Linked DNA regions of Saccharomyces cerevisiae S288C. The gene in region 4 interacts genetically with the main gene of each other region. Each region holds a gene or a part of one and is shown on either strand. Other genes may lie near its edges.

Region 1 (4,331 bases), on a different chromosome or scaffold from region 4:
GAATACAACAGCTTCTAACCCTTCTCTCAAAGTCGTTATAAATGGTAATATGAAGAAGGAGTACTTTTCACTGAATTTCACACCTTTTTGGGTTTTGTTTCCCAGCAAATTATTGTCCTTTGAATAAATGATAGAAGCTAATTTCACTCTGAACTTCTCTCTTAACTTCCCCATTCTTAAAAAAAACAACCCCATGACAGAAATAATAACGGACGCGACAAGACTTAAGACACCTTCATAATAATGTTCACTCAGTGTCCATAAGTCGGTTCCAATATGATAAAAGATACTAACAAACGCACCCCCGATTAACATACACAGCAACAAACCAAATGCGCCGCCCGCTAGAATTTGTATTTTTAATTTCTGATATAGCTTAACGTTGTCAGCCGTATGTTCATCGGACTCGCGGTCCTGGTCTCTAAGCTCATTAGAGTACTCGTAAATTTCTTCTTCTTCCTCCACATTTAGCGGCCTCGATTTATTATTAGCAGCCGTAGCGGACGTTCCAATAGCATTACCGTCTGAAGGCCCTGCTTGTAAGAAGGCAGTGGTCGAATCTGCGTTTGTGTTCGTATTTGGACTTGGAAGACCAGCAGAAGAGGAACTTCCTTCAAACGGGCTGTCGTCCTCAACAGACAGACCTTGTTTGACGATCGTCAACAGGATAGAAACAATGACAACAATTTCTAAGGATTCCCTTAAGAAAATGAAGAATATCTGGAAAGAAAAATAATCCTCAAACGCCATGGTGACTAGAAATATGAACACCACTCTAGTTCTCTATTCTTAGAGTTTTTTCGCTTTTCTGTAGAGGACAAAAGTTCAGTAAGATGCTTGATTCTTTATAATATCAAGTTTGTGTTTTTGTAGGCTGGTTTAGATACAATTTTGCTTTTCTCTCTTCATCTCCGGCCGCACCGCACCCATTTTTGAACCCAAGAAGGCACTAGAATAAAGTGAGGTGGCTACTACATTGAATTATGTGTATATAGATAGATACATGTTGACGTTTTAGCACCTGTTTTGACGGAGCAGGCGCTATTTGTAGTTTGGTTTTTAAATTCCTGGTGGAAGCTTGTAATTTCCTGCTGAAAAGTACTTTCTAGTACAGAAGTAGTCAGGAGTCCAGGTGACGTCCTTGCTAGGTTCGCAGATACACTTGTTTTGTAGTCTAATCTTCTGTTCGATAGGACAAGAGGTGAAATCTGGATGATGGAATCCAAGACCGTCAAAGAAATGGATTTCTGACTTGTCCAAGAACAAAGAGGCAGCGATGGAGTGCACTGGCGCATCCCCCCATCTTTCGTAGAAGAATCCACCAGAACTGTCTAAGTAATCAAAGTATTCTCTGTATGCATCGGACCTGAAGAAGTCTAAAGAGCCGATTTCGAAGTTGGTCCAGAAATGACACATATTATAAGTGTCACCATCATCATTCGAAATGAATTTCATGAGGTTATTTTTGTGTAAGAATTTAGGATTTTTCTTGATGAATTTCTTTGTCGTTTCCCACAAGGTTGGGATTGTGCGCTCATATTCACTTACCGAAAGAATGAATCCATATTTCTTGTTATTTACTTTTAAAAACTTGAATATGTCATACTGAATATCACAGAATAAAGTGATATCGGTATCCACTCTCCAAAACCATTCGTACTCCTCCAGTAGTGGGTGTCTCCATATGAACCCTGACTGGAAACGGCACATGTGACGGTAAGGCACGGAACTACCATATGGAATATCCAATTTTCCCATTGCAAGCCTTTTCTCATCGAATTTTTCAGTATCGATCCAAGATGGAATGGACCAATGGTCCTTTGGGATTGTCCCATATTTTGCCTTGCCTGAAACCAATGCACTGGTAACACGTTTAAACTCATCACTAAATGGTTGGTCATTCAAGAACACCCAATCGTAGTGATATCTGTTATTGAACCTGTCTTCAACATGTCTAATAGATTTTACCAAGTTCCATAAATCTGAATTCCTGGCCAATGTGACCATAACACCCTTTTCCTTCTTTCCATCGTCCACGGGATGGATTACTCCTTGTGACTTGTCAGTAAACGGCATCAAATAATCCTTACTGGCTACACGACTGACACTGGTGCCCTGAGCTATTGGTACCTCTGGGGACCTTGAGCCACTCATGAAAAATAAAAAGGATAACACTATGATGAGCCCAATGAATGATGATCTGATTCCCTTTTGGTATTTTCTAATCAGCAATGCCGATTTGGGCATTAGCTTCTTTTTGTGGTGCACAGACATAATTGCACGCTGGATATTGATAGTGTTGTTGTCCGCAGACGAGGCCTGACCTTCTTTATGCAAATTTTAACCATCAGTTACGTTGTTTTCTTCGAAAAGTTTCAAGAGGACGCGCCATTCTTTTAACCCGGCAATTTTAAAGGGTTCATTAATAAAGAACTACCAAGATGGTACAGTCGCATTTGGATCGTAACTCAACGTTAGAAGAAAGCCTTAAACCGAGAACTTTTTCTCTTGGTAATGAATATGGCAGAACGTGCAGAAGCAACAAAAAGTTGGTCCTGTGAGCCCCTTTCTGGAAAGACGCTAGAAGAGATTGTTCAAAATGCAGAAAATGCAGCTGATTTGGTAGCTTACATTCGCAAACCAGAGGTAGATTTGGACTTTAGGTTGAAGTTTATCGCAGAACATGAGGAGTTTTTTAATGTACAACTATCGGATCGAAATTCAAGAATAAGGACGTGTCACAACTTGAGCGATAAAGGGATACGGGGTGATACTGTTTTCGTCTTCGTGCCTGGGTTGGCTGGCAACTTAGAACAATTTGAACCCTTACTCGAGCTTGTGGACTCTGATCAAAAGGCATTTTTGACGTTAGATCTGCCCGGCTTTGGTCATAGTTCAGAATGGAGCGACTACCCCATGCTGAAAGTGGTGGAACTTATTTTCGTTCTTGTATGTGACGTCTTAAGAAAATGGTCTACAGCGGTGCCGAATAATGATAACGTAAATCCATTTAACGGTCATAAGATAGTGCTTGTAGGGCATTCTATGGGTTGTTTTCTGGCATGTCATCTTTACGAGCAGCACATGGCTGATACAAAAGCGGTACAAACGCTAGTTTTGTTGACGCCCCCCAAAGCACATATCGAGCAGCTTTCTAAGGATAAACATATTATCCAGTGGGCTCTCTATGGTGTGTTTAAATTGCCATGGCTATTTGACGTTTATAGAAACAAATTCGATCAGGTAAAAGGTCTACAAAGTTCCGGCATCAAGCAGTATTTTTATCAACAAGGTGATGATGTCAAGTTGAAATACAGGAAGTTCTGGCAATTTAAAAACAACATAAGCAACAAAAGTAGAACCATCATAGGTTATTTACTAGGATGGGAAACTGTTGATTGGGTTAAATTCAATGGTGTATTGACGCAAACGGATATGAAACAGAAAATTATAATATTTGGCGCTGAAAAAGATCCTATAGCTCCTATTGAAAATTTGGAATTTTACAAACAAACTATAAATAAAGAATGTCTTCGTAAAGTGATTATTTTACCTGACTGTTCTCATAATTTATGCTTCGACCGTCCAGAATTGGTGTGTGAAAACTTTCAACGAGAGGTGATTGATAATTCCAAATTGTAGAAGGTTTTCTAGATTTCACATTGCGTAACTAGATTTTCGTGCACACTGCTACATGAATTGATAAAACAAACCAGAAAAAGTAACTAAGACCAATATTTTCAAATTTTTCATAGTATACTTTATATCGTACATCTTACAAGCAAAAATCAAAGGTAGTGTCTATGTATGCAAAAAAATAGGAAACGAAAAATAAATATAAATAAATAAAGCCATGAAATGTAGAAAGGCTATGCAAAAAAGAAAAAAATAAACATCAATAATATTTGGCCAAATAAATTAACAGAACGTATGCTGTTAAAAGAGAGCAGTCGTTATATGATGCTTTCAGCATAGTAGTTATTTTCGCCAACATTTCTCCTTAGATCAACTCTCCTCAACTCCTTTAACCTACTAATCAAATTGTGTGTAATACTGTCTATTCTCAAAGTTGGTTTTCCAACTTTCATTTTGTCCATATCAATGTCATCATCCACACATAATTTAACCACTAAAGAAACATAATCTTTGGAAACTTTTGTGAGCCAAAATGAAGTTGGCTTTTCTGTTTTTAATATTGTCAACCTGAATTGTAAAGATTCTGCTTCGAGATTGGAATCAGAAGTAGCATCAGCCTCAGATCCGGCCCCATATCTAATATCAAATAAGTTTGATATTTCGAGAATATCCGGGTCTCGGCAACAATAGTTTTT
Region 2 (5,029 bases), on a different chromosome or scaffold from region 4:
ACTTTTTTGTTTCCTATACGACGCGGACGAAGAGAAAGTCTTCTGCGCCAAGGCCGAAAAGAAAAATTTGAAGAAAACATTCTCAGATGCGAATCTACTTTTACATCATCTTCTACGTAGGCCCTTTTTTAGTTCCTTTTTTTTTTCTCCCTCGGTCTGTTTAATCATAGTAAAATCAGATATTGTCAAAAATTGTATTCATTGAATGGAGAGTACTTAAACTTCACATCCTAACATTAGAGATGCCAGAAAAAACATATAGGTATAAGTGAAATCATCATTATGATAAACGAGACGGATGAAAGGAGAAAAAACTGAAAAGAAAAAAAGGGCGGATTGACAATTCAAGAAAAAGGCAAAAAGTAAAGGAAGGTAACATCACTTGATATCGCACCCTTCTTTGCATTGCCTTGTGGTTACCGTACCACTCTTGCTTATGATTTTTTTTTCTTTTTGCGCGCGCTAGGCTGAAATGTAGAGGTTCAAGGTATGATAACAGCGGACAAAGGTATATGATGTCGCGCATTTGATGCCTTAAATACAATTTTTTTTTTTCCCTCCTCCGTCGAAAAAACGCTGTGAAGAATAAAAAAAAATTGTATTTTGTATTACCCGGATTTACTTTAGTCTCACATTGTATTGTTAGGGTTTTGCTACTTATGGTAAAACTGCCGCTAAAAAAATATTCATTTCTATCCTAATTGTATTTTTATTATGTAGAGCAAAGCTTGCGCGAAATTATTGGCTTTTTTTTTTTTTTAATTAATACTACCTTTTGATGTGAACGTTTACTAAAGTAGCACTATCTGTGGAATGGCTGTTGGAACTTTTTCCGATTAACAGCTTGTATTCCAAGTCCTGACATTCCAGTTGTAAGTTTTCCAACTTGTGATTCAATTGTTCAATCTCTTGGTTAAAATTCTCTTGTTCCATGAATAGGCTCTTTTTCCAGTCTCGAAATTTTGAAATTTCTCTGTTGGACAGCTCGTTGAATTTTTTCTTAGCTTCTAATTGTCTAGTTATAAATTCAGGATCCCATTCTGTAGCCACCTTATCCATGACCGTTTTATTAATTATTTCATAGCACTTGTAATTTTTGAGTTTGTTTTCCTCGATTTCATCGAAGTTCATTTCTTCCTCCAAAAATTTCCTTTGTTCTTCCGTTATGTCAACACTTTTCGTTGTTAAGCAATCTCTGGCCTTTAATAGCCTAGTTCTTAGCATTTCAGATCTGCATTTTTCATAATAATCCTCGGTACTTTCTACAAGATCAATTAAATTCCAATCAAAAATCGTCTTTTGCAAGATTTTGAAGTCACAGTACTTTTCATTTTCAATGTCAACAGCGCCCCATTTGTATTGTCTTCCTTTAACTTTTTCGCCCTTTTCATTAAAAATGTACTCATTAGATGCAATTATACTGAATGGATATTTTTGAAAAATATCTTGTGTTGCATTCAAAACTTCATCGCCGAAAAAGAAACATACAGGGATATCTTGTACTCTTATTATTTCTCTAACTTGTGTTTTGAAGTTTTTCAATTCCTCTTTCGTTAGCAAATCTGATTTAGCAATAACCGGGATTAAATTCACTCTCTTCGCTAATTTTTTCATTGTTACGACGTCTAAAGTATCAATTCCCTTATTTGAAGGTCTCAGAAAGTACAAACAACAATGGACTCTATTATCAACCATTTTTGTCCTATCAGGTTGTTCTTCTTGGAAAATGTACGATCTTATTTCTTCATCAATATAGTTAACCATTGTCCTCCACGTAAATGCATTATCCATATTGTTACCAAAACCAGGTGTATCGATGACGTTGAAATTAAGGTGTGTTCCATCTCCTTCTACAATGCTTTTATAACGAATAATAGGTTTGTTTTCTTTGATGTCATCATCAATTAAAGAAGTAGAAAATAAGGAATTGATAAACGTGGTTTTACCCAATCCACTTTGACCCGCCACCATCAGCGTAAAATCAATTCCATTTTTGGCATTCAACAACTCACGTTGACGTGGTAAGTTTTTGATACCGATGTCTTGGCCGTGTGAATTGGTGTTTATTTCTTGTGCTTTCTTGTTATCTAACAATGGAAGGTCCCTGTTCCTGCATTTACCGTTAACAAAAGAGGATGACCTCTGTCTTCTGTGTTTCAGTTCAGGGCTTTTCGGAGGATGTGAATCGACGGCGTACTGTCCTTGGGAACTTTGTCTACGTATTTTCACTTCCTCAGCGAATCCAGAGACTATCTTGGGAAATTCGACAGGACAGTCTGTTGACAACCGACTCCCTTTTGACTTCATAATAAAAATTCAATGACGCAAAAGGAATTTTAGGTTTTTATTATTTATTTATTTATTTCTGTTAATTGATCCTTTTCTTTCCACTACCAACAACAAAAAAGGGGGGAAAAAGATGTATAATCTAAAAGACACTAATCTGCTCTTGATATCCTTATTATGTAATGGAATAACTCATATAAATGTAAAATAGAACTTCAAATTAATATTATAATGATAGTCGAGGTCAGACACACTTATAATACATTAAGTAAAGAAAAAAAAATGTCTGTCATCGAGGTCTCTTTTGTGTCGCTAACAAAACATCACTAAATACGAAGACACTTTGCATGGGAAGGATGCAGCAAATGGCAAACTAACGGGCCATTGATTGGTTTACCTCTTCTATTTGTATTACGACCAGAAAGAACGAATGGTTTTCATCAATGAGGTAGGAAACGACCTAAATATAATGTAGCATCGATAAAATCTTTGTACTGTATGGTTGCAATGCCTTCTTGATTAGTATCGAATTTCCTGAATAATTTTGTTAATCTCATTAGCCAAACTAACGCCTCAACGAATTTATCAAACTTTAGTTCTTTTCCTGTTCCATTTCTGTTTATAAACTCAGCATATTGGTCAAATGTTTTCTCGCTAACTTCAAAAGGTATTAGATATCCTAGTTCTTGAAGTGAGTTATGAAATTCGCTTACAGAAATGGTGAGCGATCCGTTGATATCATTGTCCACATAAACTTTTCTCCAACTTTTCACTCTTTTGTATAGGGCGATGAATTCTGCCTGGTTGACAGTGCCAAACCTGGAAGCACCAAATAAATTTATCAGCGCATCTACTGATGATATACAAAAATGGGAGTTGTCGTCGTTTTGTAGTAAGTTCTGTAGTTCCTCAGCTGTCAGTCGGTTTTTGCCCTTTACATCATGGTTATGAAATAGCTGTGTGGCCACTTGCATGTCTCGTACATCTTCTCTGCTATCGAACGAAGCAGGTGCAACTTTCTTCAAGAGTTGTGCAGGCACTGCTTGATTGTGAATTAGGGGAGGAGGAGAGGAAGCTATCCGTTGAGCGGAAGTGTTCAAGTTGTTATAATGGGTTGGCGCTGGAGGTATAGGCCTGCCTGCTGGTTTCTGTGCGATAACATTATATCTAGGATCCACAGGTGTTTTCGTATGTCTTGGAGAATAACTTTGGGGAGAACCATAGGAGTGGTGACCGTTTTCTGCTCTGTTTTTGTTATATTGAGTTTGTAAGGGAATTGGAGCTGAGTGGACTCTAGTGTTGGGAGTTTGTGCTTGAGTAACCTTTATTTGTTGCTGTCGTTGTTTCTCTTTCTCGAATTCACGTCTAGTTTCCTCCATGGCCTCTTTAGGTGTAGCATAGCGTACAAAGTCATCGCCAGCAGCGTATTTGAGCTTCTTTGCACACATCGTTTAATGGTGTAGGTTTATAGTTATTTTATGCGGTATACGGTATACATACATGTTCAGTGAAATAGCAATTCCCATCGCTTTGTATTCCTGCGGTTTTTTTATTCGGATAGTTTCTAAATAAAAAAAATCGACAAGACCCTGAGCCAGATGACTGAAATTATCAGTTGTTAAAAGCGATGGAGCACTATCCAATATGCGTATTGTTTTCTTCTTCTGAGTTATGTATATAATGGTGAACTACAAGATTATATAGATTCAGGTGCAAGGTATTGAGCATGACACATGCTGTGTGTATCGTGGCCTATTCACTGTGGCCTATTTCATTCCACTTCCACTGAATATCATTTCAAATGTATTAAAAGACTTTTGAAAGTAACACTGATAGTATGTTGTAGTTGTTCTTGGAAATGTTGAACCAAACCGATTGTTCATTCGCCAAGTTCGAAGATGCCGTTTTCGTACTTGCCAGAAAAAACACGCTTGAAAAAGAAAATCTTGAGTAAAAAGAAAAGGGCTTAGGAATCTTCTATTCGATGACCATCAAACGATAAATGAAGCAATAAAGTCCAACTAACTAGCACCTCCATAAAATAAGTTAGCGTTTAAATGGTTGATGAAATAGATGCATAGAATGTCCTCGACAGTGATTTCATTGGCTCATTTCTGCGACAAGCATGGCCCAAGGATCATATCAGTTACACAATCCGCAGAAAAGGGAACGCTAGGTGAAGAATTACTAGTGCCTGATTATCCAACTGAATCATATTGCGAATCATGTCTTTTACAGTTTCCTGAAGAGTCAACTAGATCGATGCGGTGCTTCATCGAAGATGTTCCGTTTATAACTACCCAATATTCTTCTATAAGATACCAATTGCTAAATTCTATTATTAAAAGAGCCTTTTCTGAAGAAACAATGATTTATGATAATATGCCTTTTATATTTTTTGATGATCTTAGAGGATTGAACTTAGTTATAGGCTTTAAACTGTATGATGAAAATGCTAGAGGCAATGAAAGAAGATATTGTTTTATTTTAACAGTCGATTCCAGAAGCCATGACGATTCTATGAAAATGTTGAGTGAACACTGGAACTTTATCATCGGTGGATTTGATAAAATGATTGCATATATTAAAAACATTCATAAAAGCGAATTCTTGGGGAAAAATAAAACGGTGGAAAACAATTTGGAAACATTGAATAATAACGCTTTCATTGGCTCATATTTACGTGCAAACAAATCTAAATTCGGCCGTAATTTGGTGTCTCTGACGGATGATAAATTTCTCT
Region 3 (3,941 bases), on a different chromosome or scaffold from region 4:
TATAGTTTAGCACTATTTTGGAAGTGTCTCTATCCGGAATTAACTCCTTATAAACCATGGTTGAAATTTTTATGTGTCAAATTGATTATTTTTGCCTCTTATTGGCAGAGCATCATAATCCAGGGTCTAGTGGTTACTGGAAAGTTGGGTACGGGAAACCAAGATCGAACCTCTGGATATGTGTACAAGAATGGGCTCCTGTGTATAGAGATGGTGCCTTTCGCCATCTTGCATGCAGTAGCTTTCCCTTGGAACAAATACACAGCATTTAGCATACCTTATGGGGCCAGGATGAAATTCATTTACGCTTTGAAAGATTTTCTTGGTTGCGGTGATCTAATATGGGATTTTAAACAGACTTTGTTTGCTGGTCCCTTGTACTATAATTATAGGAACTTCGATCCTGAAGCCATGGATCTATTAAGCACTAGACAACAATCCGGTGCGACTATGGAAAGACTAAAGCATGGGCTAAGATTTACTGATAATGGAAGAAATAGTTATTGGGTGGCATATGGGAGTATAGATAACAACCTTGTTCCGGAATCAATAGAGGAATCATGGGAAGATGATATTGCTGGTCAGAGAACTTTTCCTGAGGATCCAAATTATCCGGTTGTTCACGACTACACGATGGGCCATCGATATAGTAGATCAATGAATGATTTAAGAAGAGATGTTCAAAGTAGGTCATCAATGGCTTGTTAAATGAGTCGTTAAATGTACGTATATACATAGTTACTGCGCTTTCGGTTATATACAAAATAAAACAACATCTACAAGCAATGCTTTTTTTTCAATTATTGTAACTTGGATGCTTATTCTAATAAAATGAAATAAATGCTACTGTAATTTTTTGCCGGAGGATTGGCTATATATGCAGAGTGGGAGTTGGACGATATCACCATTATTATTATTTTTCTATTATTACCATTGGACTTGTCTTTTGCAGCAACAAAAGTGGCAGCAGCAGCAACAGCACCACCACCAATGCATTTTGGCCTTGCCTTTTATAAGTTGTCAAAAAAAGTTGACCTCGAAAAGGGGAAAAAACATCAATTTTTCATTAAAAAATGCTTAGCACATTCATATGCAGTCCAAGAAATGGCAGTGGCTGGTATATTAGCCACTATCCTTGGTTTCAAACCTCGCCAAAACCCCTTCCAACCATGAACCTCCAGTATGGCTCTTGAGGCTCTACCAAAAGTGTTCGCATCCTTCATTATTTCGATGGAGACAGTTTCGCTGCCTCTAACCTGTAATACAGTCTTTATGCAATCCAACGGTGTAGTTAACGCAGCACATGTTGCACCACTTATCCCACCGCAAAGACAATGAATCAATGGATTGTAGGAATTTTGTGGGTTGAAGAATTTGCTGGCAGATTCATATATCATGAAATTGAACGCTGCAAATGGGATATTCATGGCCAATGTTGTGGGATAGGAGTAGTAAAATGCTGCAAAGCCTTCATTTTGATATATTTGCTTAGTAACATTCCAAACTCTTAGATTAGTATCCAATTGTAGTCTTTGTTTAACGGTGTCAAAGGGGTTCATCAATGCATCCGCAGCAATGGTAGCAATGGTACCACTCAGTGCGGTCTTCATTGGTTGATGAGTTTGCATATCTTCAGGGCTTATCAGGCGAGCTTTGCAAAACTCGTATGTACCAAAATATACTGCATGCGCAGGCCCTGCCCCCAGTATTACCGATTGAACACCCTTCCATAAAGCCATCGAACCTTCCATTGTAGATATTTTGGATATCTGAGATATCATCCCTGTAGAGGCAGCTTTATTCAATCCTGCAGCCTGCACTCGGGTTTTCAGAGCATCTATTGGAAACATCAAAGAATGCTCCATTATACCTGCAAATGCTCCTGCCAGTAACTGGGAATGTAGCGGAGCATGTGATGGAAGAGCTTCGTAGTCGATTTCCTCAGCTATTGACAGTTCTGAAGTATTCATAATATTAACTGATATTTCGGTTGAGTTTTTTACTTCTTCACTTTGTACTTCTCACGAAAGTCTTCGTCAATAAACCTCTGATAAAGTGAAAATTCTATGAGATTCCAATAAAACCTCCAAATATCTTTATATACAGCTTACTACTTAGATAAGATGACGTTCGCCAATGGTAGGCAAAAGATAGCAGGGTGTTCTTGCCTTTCAGTCTTCGCCATGCTCTCATTCAAGAAAGGGTGCCAAAATACCGAAAAGAGACACGATCGGGGGTGTCAAAGTAGCGATTCCTGTGGGTTAAAAGAGGGTGAACCACGGCAAACATGCATGTGTAAAACCCAAAACGCCGATCTAGGGCCTGCGACGCATGGTACGAACATCCTGAAGGTATATAAAAGAGCTAAAGTCTTGACTCATGCCTGAAATCTTGATTTTTCATTGTTATATCCTCTCTATACATTAGTAAGCACCATAGATGGGCTGGCTATCAAAAGCGAGAAAAAAAAAATGCTGAATTCCAAATATGTACTCATCGGGGTGAATTTCAATGATGTGTTATGTAGATACAATATATATGTATAAGTCACTAAATGCATACATACGAGAGTCTACCTTAAGTTTGTCCAAGTGAAAAAAACTGGGCATAGCAAAAAGACGGTTGTAGGTATACCTGCGTATATGAGAAACCTTCCGACGATTTCCACTTTGGAAACACCGCTGTACAATAAACACTCTTCTTCTTCACTTGTCTCGTTATGGAAATGAACCTTTTCGCTTCTATCATCGTGAAATCTGAGTAGTTTAATTAACAGCGTGTAGACAGCTGTCTTGCTAATGACGTCTTTCCAAACAATCACAGAAGCGACACCTACCAGAGGCCTCAAGAACACCTTAGAACCACATGATGCGTACCTACTACATACAAGGTTCCATCCGTATCTTTCGGTTAACCAGTCGCTGCAATCCAGCCCACTGACTACGCCAATGAACGCTACGCTATCTTCGAAACAAGGACATTCATCAATGGGCCTGACGTGGTTAAACAGAATAAACAAGCCCCATGCTACACTCAAAAGGGGAAACCAGAGATGTTCACCAATCTGGAAATTTCGTAAAGCATGCACCACCCAGATTCTTATAAAAAAACAGATAGCTCCAACTGCGGCGCCGCTAAATAAATCCAGCATACCATGCATACCGCAGTAAACTCTACCAAAAACCAGGGTTAAGTAGTAAAATATCACCAGACTCAGTAAAAGAAGCTTTGTTGGCCATACCAGTGTGTCAGATAAACATATTCTCCAAAAGAATAATAGACTTACCGCAGTAGCGTTAGCAGAATGTGAACTGGGTGCACCATATTCTTTCGTAGTGTATTCACTTAGTGTGATTCTGTCAACTGGCGGTGATTTTGGCCTTGGTAGGCACCAATAATCCTTTAAGTAGCCACTCAAATAAATTGAATAACCAAGAACGTAGATCATGTCCCGTGTTAAATCGCGGTATCCAAGCCACACAGGCATGGGAAGCACGATAACATAAAACATGTGGGAACCCATAAGCGAAGTGTATTTGAAATAAACGTCTCTAAAAGGCGTTCTGTGCTTTTTTTGTAAAGAATGTACGAAATCTGATTGGTTGTCTGTGAATCTAGTTAGATACTGCCTTGTTTGAAACCTTAGCCACGACATCTGGCTCTCAAAATGCTCCGCTGGATGATTACCGGGATCTGCCAATAGGTGTTTGCCGCCGGAAGGAGCCATCTGAACCTTAATGGTGTCCTCGGTAACACCCAATTCAGTAACCGTCTGAATAATGGTCATAATTAAATTCTTTTACAGGCTTGCTATTTTGTATATTTTTTTGAAGACTACCACTGCCTAACTTCTTTTTGTCATGTTATCAATTCAACTAGATGTTGAGAAGGAAGCCAAGGCAAGGCTGATAAAAACTAAGAAAATAAGGAAAAATCATTAT
Region 4 (4,285 bases):
CCCAAGGTATTAAAAAATGCAGGTGTTGCATACACACTATTATTAATAAGGATAATCATGGGATAAATCATCAGAATAAAAGCTTTAAGAAAGTCGCAAATTATCAAAAATGCGATGAGATCATGTCTGAAGACTTTTCGTCTCTTATCCATTTTAGAAAGGAAGAACATTCCGAGGCAACCGGCAATAAGGGACACGGCAGACGCAGTTATAGCTATTATTCTTAACTGCAACAGTTGCGGAGCCGTGAATGTAGAGGTCATCCCCGGCAACCCCAGCAGCTGGTTAACCGTGGTAGTGTTAAGCTGTCGGAGAGAATCAACTCTCTTTTCTAGTAAGGATGACCCTTTCAACGCGTTTAAATTCGGGGGAAATCCCTCAGTTATCATTTTGAGTTGGAGAGTTTGCTTTATTCGTCACACTTCGGATCACTTGTTTGTCGTTTTTTTTTTTTGGTGACTCTTACTGCTTTTTATAGACACACACACACACACACACACACACCTTCTTCTGGATACCGTAGAGAAAGGGATGTAGACAAATAAAAAAGGACAAAAGCTAGAAAAAAGACGGAAGAGGACGTGCGATTGCGTTGAATATGACCTTCGCAAATAAATATTAATAAATATGACGTTTTTGCCGCAATGCTAATTCTATAACCCACTCCTTCGTTGCCTTCTATGCTTTAATTAAACAATGGGTCCGGCTCAAACCTGGAAGGAAGATTTATAAATCTTGAAAAGAAAAAAAAGTGTGATTTAAAAAAATGAAAAAGAAAAACAAGAGGGCAAAAAAAAATGAACTACTTATTGAGACATGATTCAAGGGAAAAGACCTTCATATATACAGATTACTTTTCGAAATGGTCAGCCGCTTCATGAGCTCTTCTTGGCTGTATCGTACCACCGTGGTTCAATTAGGCAAGTATGTTGCTAAGATTAATTGCTGCGGCGCATCGTATAAGGTGATATACTAAATTCATTATCATCACTATGCATGGGTGTCATTATTATTAACATGGGAAATGGGCCCACTCCCAAGGACTCTATCGTCGATATATAGACAGCACGATTGCCCAGGAGTTATGGCACGTTGTTTTGAGGCTAAGTGTATTGTTATGTCGAGGTTGTCGGCAGAGCGATTCAGTTTGCACGATTTAATTTGGACTGGGACCTGCAGGGACCGGAATTGTAATGTCAAGGCACCAGTATTTTGGAAAGCGTTTATAGTGTCCTCCCTGGGGCCCAAAGACGAAAAGTTTTCGATTCGCATAGTGTCACTGTATAGCGCCGGATTATCTCTTCCTCTGACTATCAAGATTTCGTTGGTATCCCTTAGTTTTTCACTGACAAACCAGGTCCCTTGGTAATTAGGGTCAGCTTGTGGCATGGATATGCCCACTTTCTGTCCAATTGTGTAAGACCACAATCCATCGTGTCTGCCCCATGTCGTTTTGGCACCGGATTGTGGGTCAACGGTAATGATATCACCCGGTGAACTGGGTAGGTAGTGCTTTAAAAAATTCTTGAACTTCCCATGCTGGGAATTGTTGACGAAGCATATGCCCTGTGAATCAGGCTTTTCTGCAGTCGGGAGGCCTGCATACTTCGCTAAATCTCGTACTTCTGGTTTCGTTAGATGGCCAATGGGTAGCAACAAAGATGACAAAACAGTGGAGTTGATTTGTGAAAGGTAATAGCTTTGATCCTTGGGCCTATAAATGCTTCTCAGTAAATGGAATAATCCTTTTCCATTCATTTCCTGCATAACTCGGGCGTAATGACCAGTAACAAGCCAATAGTTACCCGTCCCATACTTCTCATCCAGCCACTCTCTCAGCTTGCCGAACTTGACGAACTTGTTGCAACCGATATCTGGATTGGGTGTCGACCCTTCACTGTAGCCTCTCAACATTGGTTCAAATACATCTATCCAATAATCTTGCTCAAAATTAACTTTGTCAACTCGGATGTTCAAATGCTTAGCGACACGGTTCACATCTCTCCAATCCCTCTCGTAGCATGGCTCCTTGCCAGGGTCGTCCAAAGATTGTGATTCAGACCAGTTCTGCATATATACTCCTCGGGTATTTGGAAATTCTCCGGCAAATAGTGCTGCCGCCACAGAGGAATCTACCCCAGATGACATTGCCACTATCACGTTGTCAAACTTTGCCGGTAGCCGCTGTGGTCTGTACGGTGAAGCACTCCTCCGTCCTATTAAATTTAAATATCTTGCCAGCATTGTTATCTGACTTGAATCGATTGCCAAATCAATACGCTCACATTTTTAACGTTCTTGTATGTTTCCAAACTTTCATTCTTTTACAATAAAGCAATGTTTTGCCTCAACTATTGAAAGAAAAAAATAAGAGACCAATTGTTACTACCCGGCGCTCTTAAAATTTTCAAGCGATGAGATGAAATTCATACAAAATGGCTTTACAGAGAGTTACTAGTACTTCACTAACTTCCTACTGCTTGAAGTAAAGTCACTAAAAGTACTTTTGTCATTTAAGTTACCACCACATATCTCTTTAACCTAGAATATGGCAGGCGTGCAGAAAAGAAAAAGGGATCTCGAAGATCAAGACGACAATGGAAGCGAGGAGGACGACATCGCCTTTGATATTGCAAATGAAATTGCCTTAAATGATAGTGAGAGTGATGCTAACGACTCCGATAGTGAAGTTGAAGCTGATTATGGTCCCAACGATGTCCAGGATGTGATCGAGTACAGCTCAGATGAAGAAGAAGGAGTGAACAATAAGAAGAAGGCTGAAAACAAGGACATCAAGAAAAAAAAGAATAGTAAGAAGGAAATAGCAGCATTTCCAATGTTAGAAATGTCAGATGATGAAAACAATGCATCTGGTAAAACTCAAACCGGTGATGATGAGGATGATGTCAATGAATATTTCTCCACAAATAACTTGGAGAAAACAAAGCATAAAAAAGGTAGTTTTCCCAGCTTTGGCCTATCCAAAATTGTATTGAACAATATTAAAAGGAAGGGATTTCGCCAACCCACTCCTATTCAAAGGAAGACTATCCCATTAATTTTGCAAAGTAGGGATATTGTTGGTATGGCACGTACCGGTTCTGGTAAGACTGCAGCATTCATCTTGCCAATGGTGGAAAAATTGAAAAGTCACTCAGGTAAAATTGGCGCCCGTGCAGTCATCTTATCGCCTTCCAGAGAATTAGCCATGCAGACTTTCAACGTTTTCAAGGATTTTGCCAGAGGAACAGAACTAAGAAGCGTCCTCTTGACTGGTGGTGATTCCTTGGAAGAACAATTTGGCATGATGATGACCAACCCAGACGTTATTATTGCAACACCTGGTAGATTTTTACATCTGAAAGTTGAAATGAACCTCGATTTGAAGAGTGTTGAGTACGTTGTTTTCGATGAAGCTGATAGGTTGTTCGAAATGGGTTTTCAAGAACAGTTGAATGAATTACTTGCATCTTTGCCTACAACAAGACAGACTTTGTTGTTTTCTGCTACTCTACCTAATTCATTGGTTGATTTTGTTAAGGCTGGTTTGGTTAATCCAGTTTTGGTTCGTTTGGACGCGGAAACGAAAGTTTCAGAGAACTTAGAAATGCTTTTTCTATCCAGTAAAAACGCAGATAGAGAGGCGAACCTATTATATATTTTGCAAGAAATCATAAAGATTCCGTTAGCCACTAGTGAACAACTTCAAAAGCTGCAAAATAGTAACAATGAGGCAGATAGTGACTCAGATGATGAAAATGATCGCCAAAAGAAGAGGAGGAATTTCAAGAAGGAAAAGTTCCGTAAACAAAAAATGCCTGCAGCTAATGAACTTCCTTCTGAAAAAGCAACTATTCTGTTCGTTCCAACAAGACATCATGTGGAATACATTTCTCAACTCTTAAGAGACTGCGGATACTTGATTTCGTACATCTACGGTACTTTGGACCAACATGCTCGTAAACGTCAATTATATAATTTTAGGGCGGGCTTAACTTCCATTTTGGTTGTTACAGATGTTGCTGCAAGAGGTGTCGATATTCCAATGTTAGCCAATGTTATTAATTACACATTACCTGGTTCATCAAAAATTTTTGTACATCGTGTAGGTAGAACTGCAAGAGCCGGTAACAAAGGTTGGGCATATTCCATTGTCGCTGAAAATGAATTACCTTACCTATTAGATTTGGAGCTATTTTTGGGGAAAAAAATTCTTCTAACACCAATGTACGATAGTCTAGTCGACGTGATGAAGAAAAGGTGGATAGATGAAGGAAAACCGGAA

Evidence for each region.
Region 1: mutations in SLM3 (region 4) and KTR3 together harm fitness more than expected from each alone (negative genetic interaction), as found in Saccharomyces cerevisiae (2 studies listed by BioGRID).
Region 2: mutations in SLM3 (region 4) and SPR3 together harm fitness more than expected from each alone (negative genetic interaction), as found in Saccharomyces cerevisiae (2 studies listed by BioGRID).
Region 3: mutations in SLM3 (region 4) and MRS4 together harm fitness more than expected from each alone (negative genetic interaction), as found in Saccharomyces cerevisiae (2 studies listed by BioGRID).

Annotation. Positions count from the first base shown.
Region 1 is NC_001134.8:631,565-635,895, reverse strand, and holds KTR3 (mannosyltransferase KTR3), read right to left. Parts: upstream 2,275-4,331; coding exon 1,060-2,274; downstream 1-1,059. Other genes in the region: FTH1 (Fth1p), read right to left, coding at 1-750; LDH1 (triacylglycerol lipase), read left to right, coding at 2,515-3,642; COS111 (Cos111p), read right to left, coding at 3,954-4,331. UniProt on the Saccharomyces cerevisiae protein: Possible glycosyltransferase that transfers an alpha-D-mannosyl residue from GDP-mannose into lipid-linked oligosaccharide, forming an alpha-(1->2)-D-mannosyl-D-mannose linkage.
Region 2 is NC_001139.9:604,841-609,869, reverse strand, and holds SPR3 (septin SPR3), read right to left. Parts: upstream 2,308-5,029; coding exon 769-2,307; downstream 1-768. Other genes in the region: PEF1 (Pef1p), read right to left, coding at 2,727-3,734; LST7 (Lst7p), read left to right, coding at 4,369-5,029. UniProt on the Saccharomyces cerevisiae protein: Septins are GTPases involved in cytokinesis that assemble into filaments and form a ring at the cleavage site. May act by recruiting MYO1 and HOF1, a protein involved in septation, to the site of cleavage.
Region 3 is NC_001143.9:531,495-535,435, forward strand, and holds MRS4 (Fe(2+) transporter), read right to left. Parts: upstream 1,971-3,941; coding exon 1,056-1,970; downstream 1-1,055. Other genes in the region: HFL1 (Hfl1p), read left to right, coding at 1-708; sphinganine kinase YSR3, read right to left, coding at 2,573-3,787. UniProt on the Saccharomyces cerevisiae protein: MRS4 suppresses a mitochondrial splice defect in the first intron of the COB gene. It may act as a carrier, exerting its suppressor activity via modulation of solute concentrations in the mitochondrion (possibly of cations). Not essential.
Region 4 is NC_001136.10:391,669-395,953, forward strand, and holds SLM3 (tRNA-5-taurinomethyluridine 2-sulfurtransferase), read right to left. Parts: upstream 2,245-4,285; coding exon 991-2,244; downstream 1-990. Other genes in the region: GPR1 (Gpr1p), read right to left, coding at 1-389; ATP-dependent RNA helicase DBP10, read left to right, coding at 2,549-4,285. UniProt on the Saccharomyces cerevisiae protein: Catalyzes the 2-thiolation of uridine at the wobble position (U34) of mitochondrial tRNA(Lys), tRNA(Glu) and tRNA(Gln).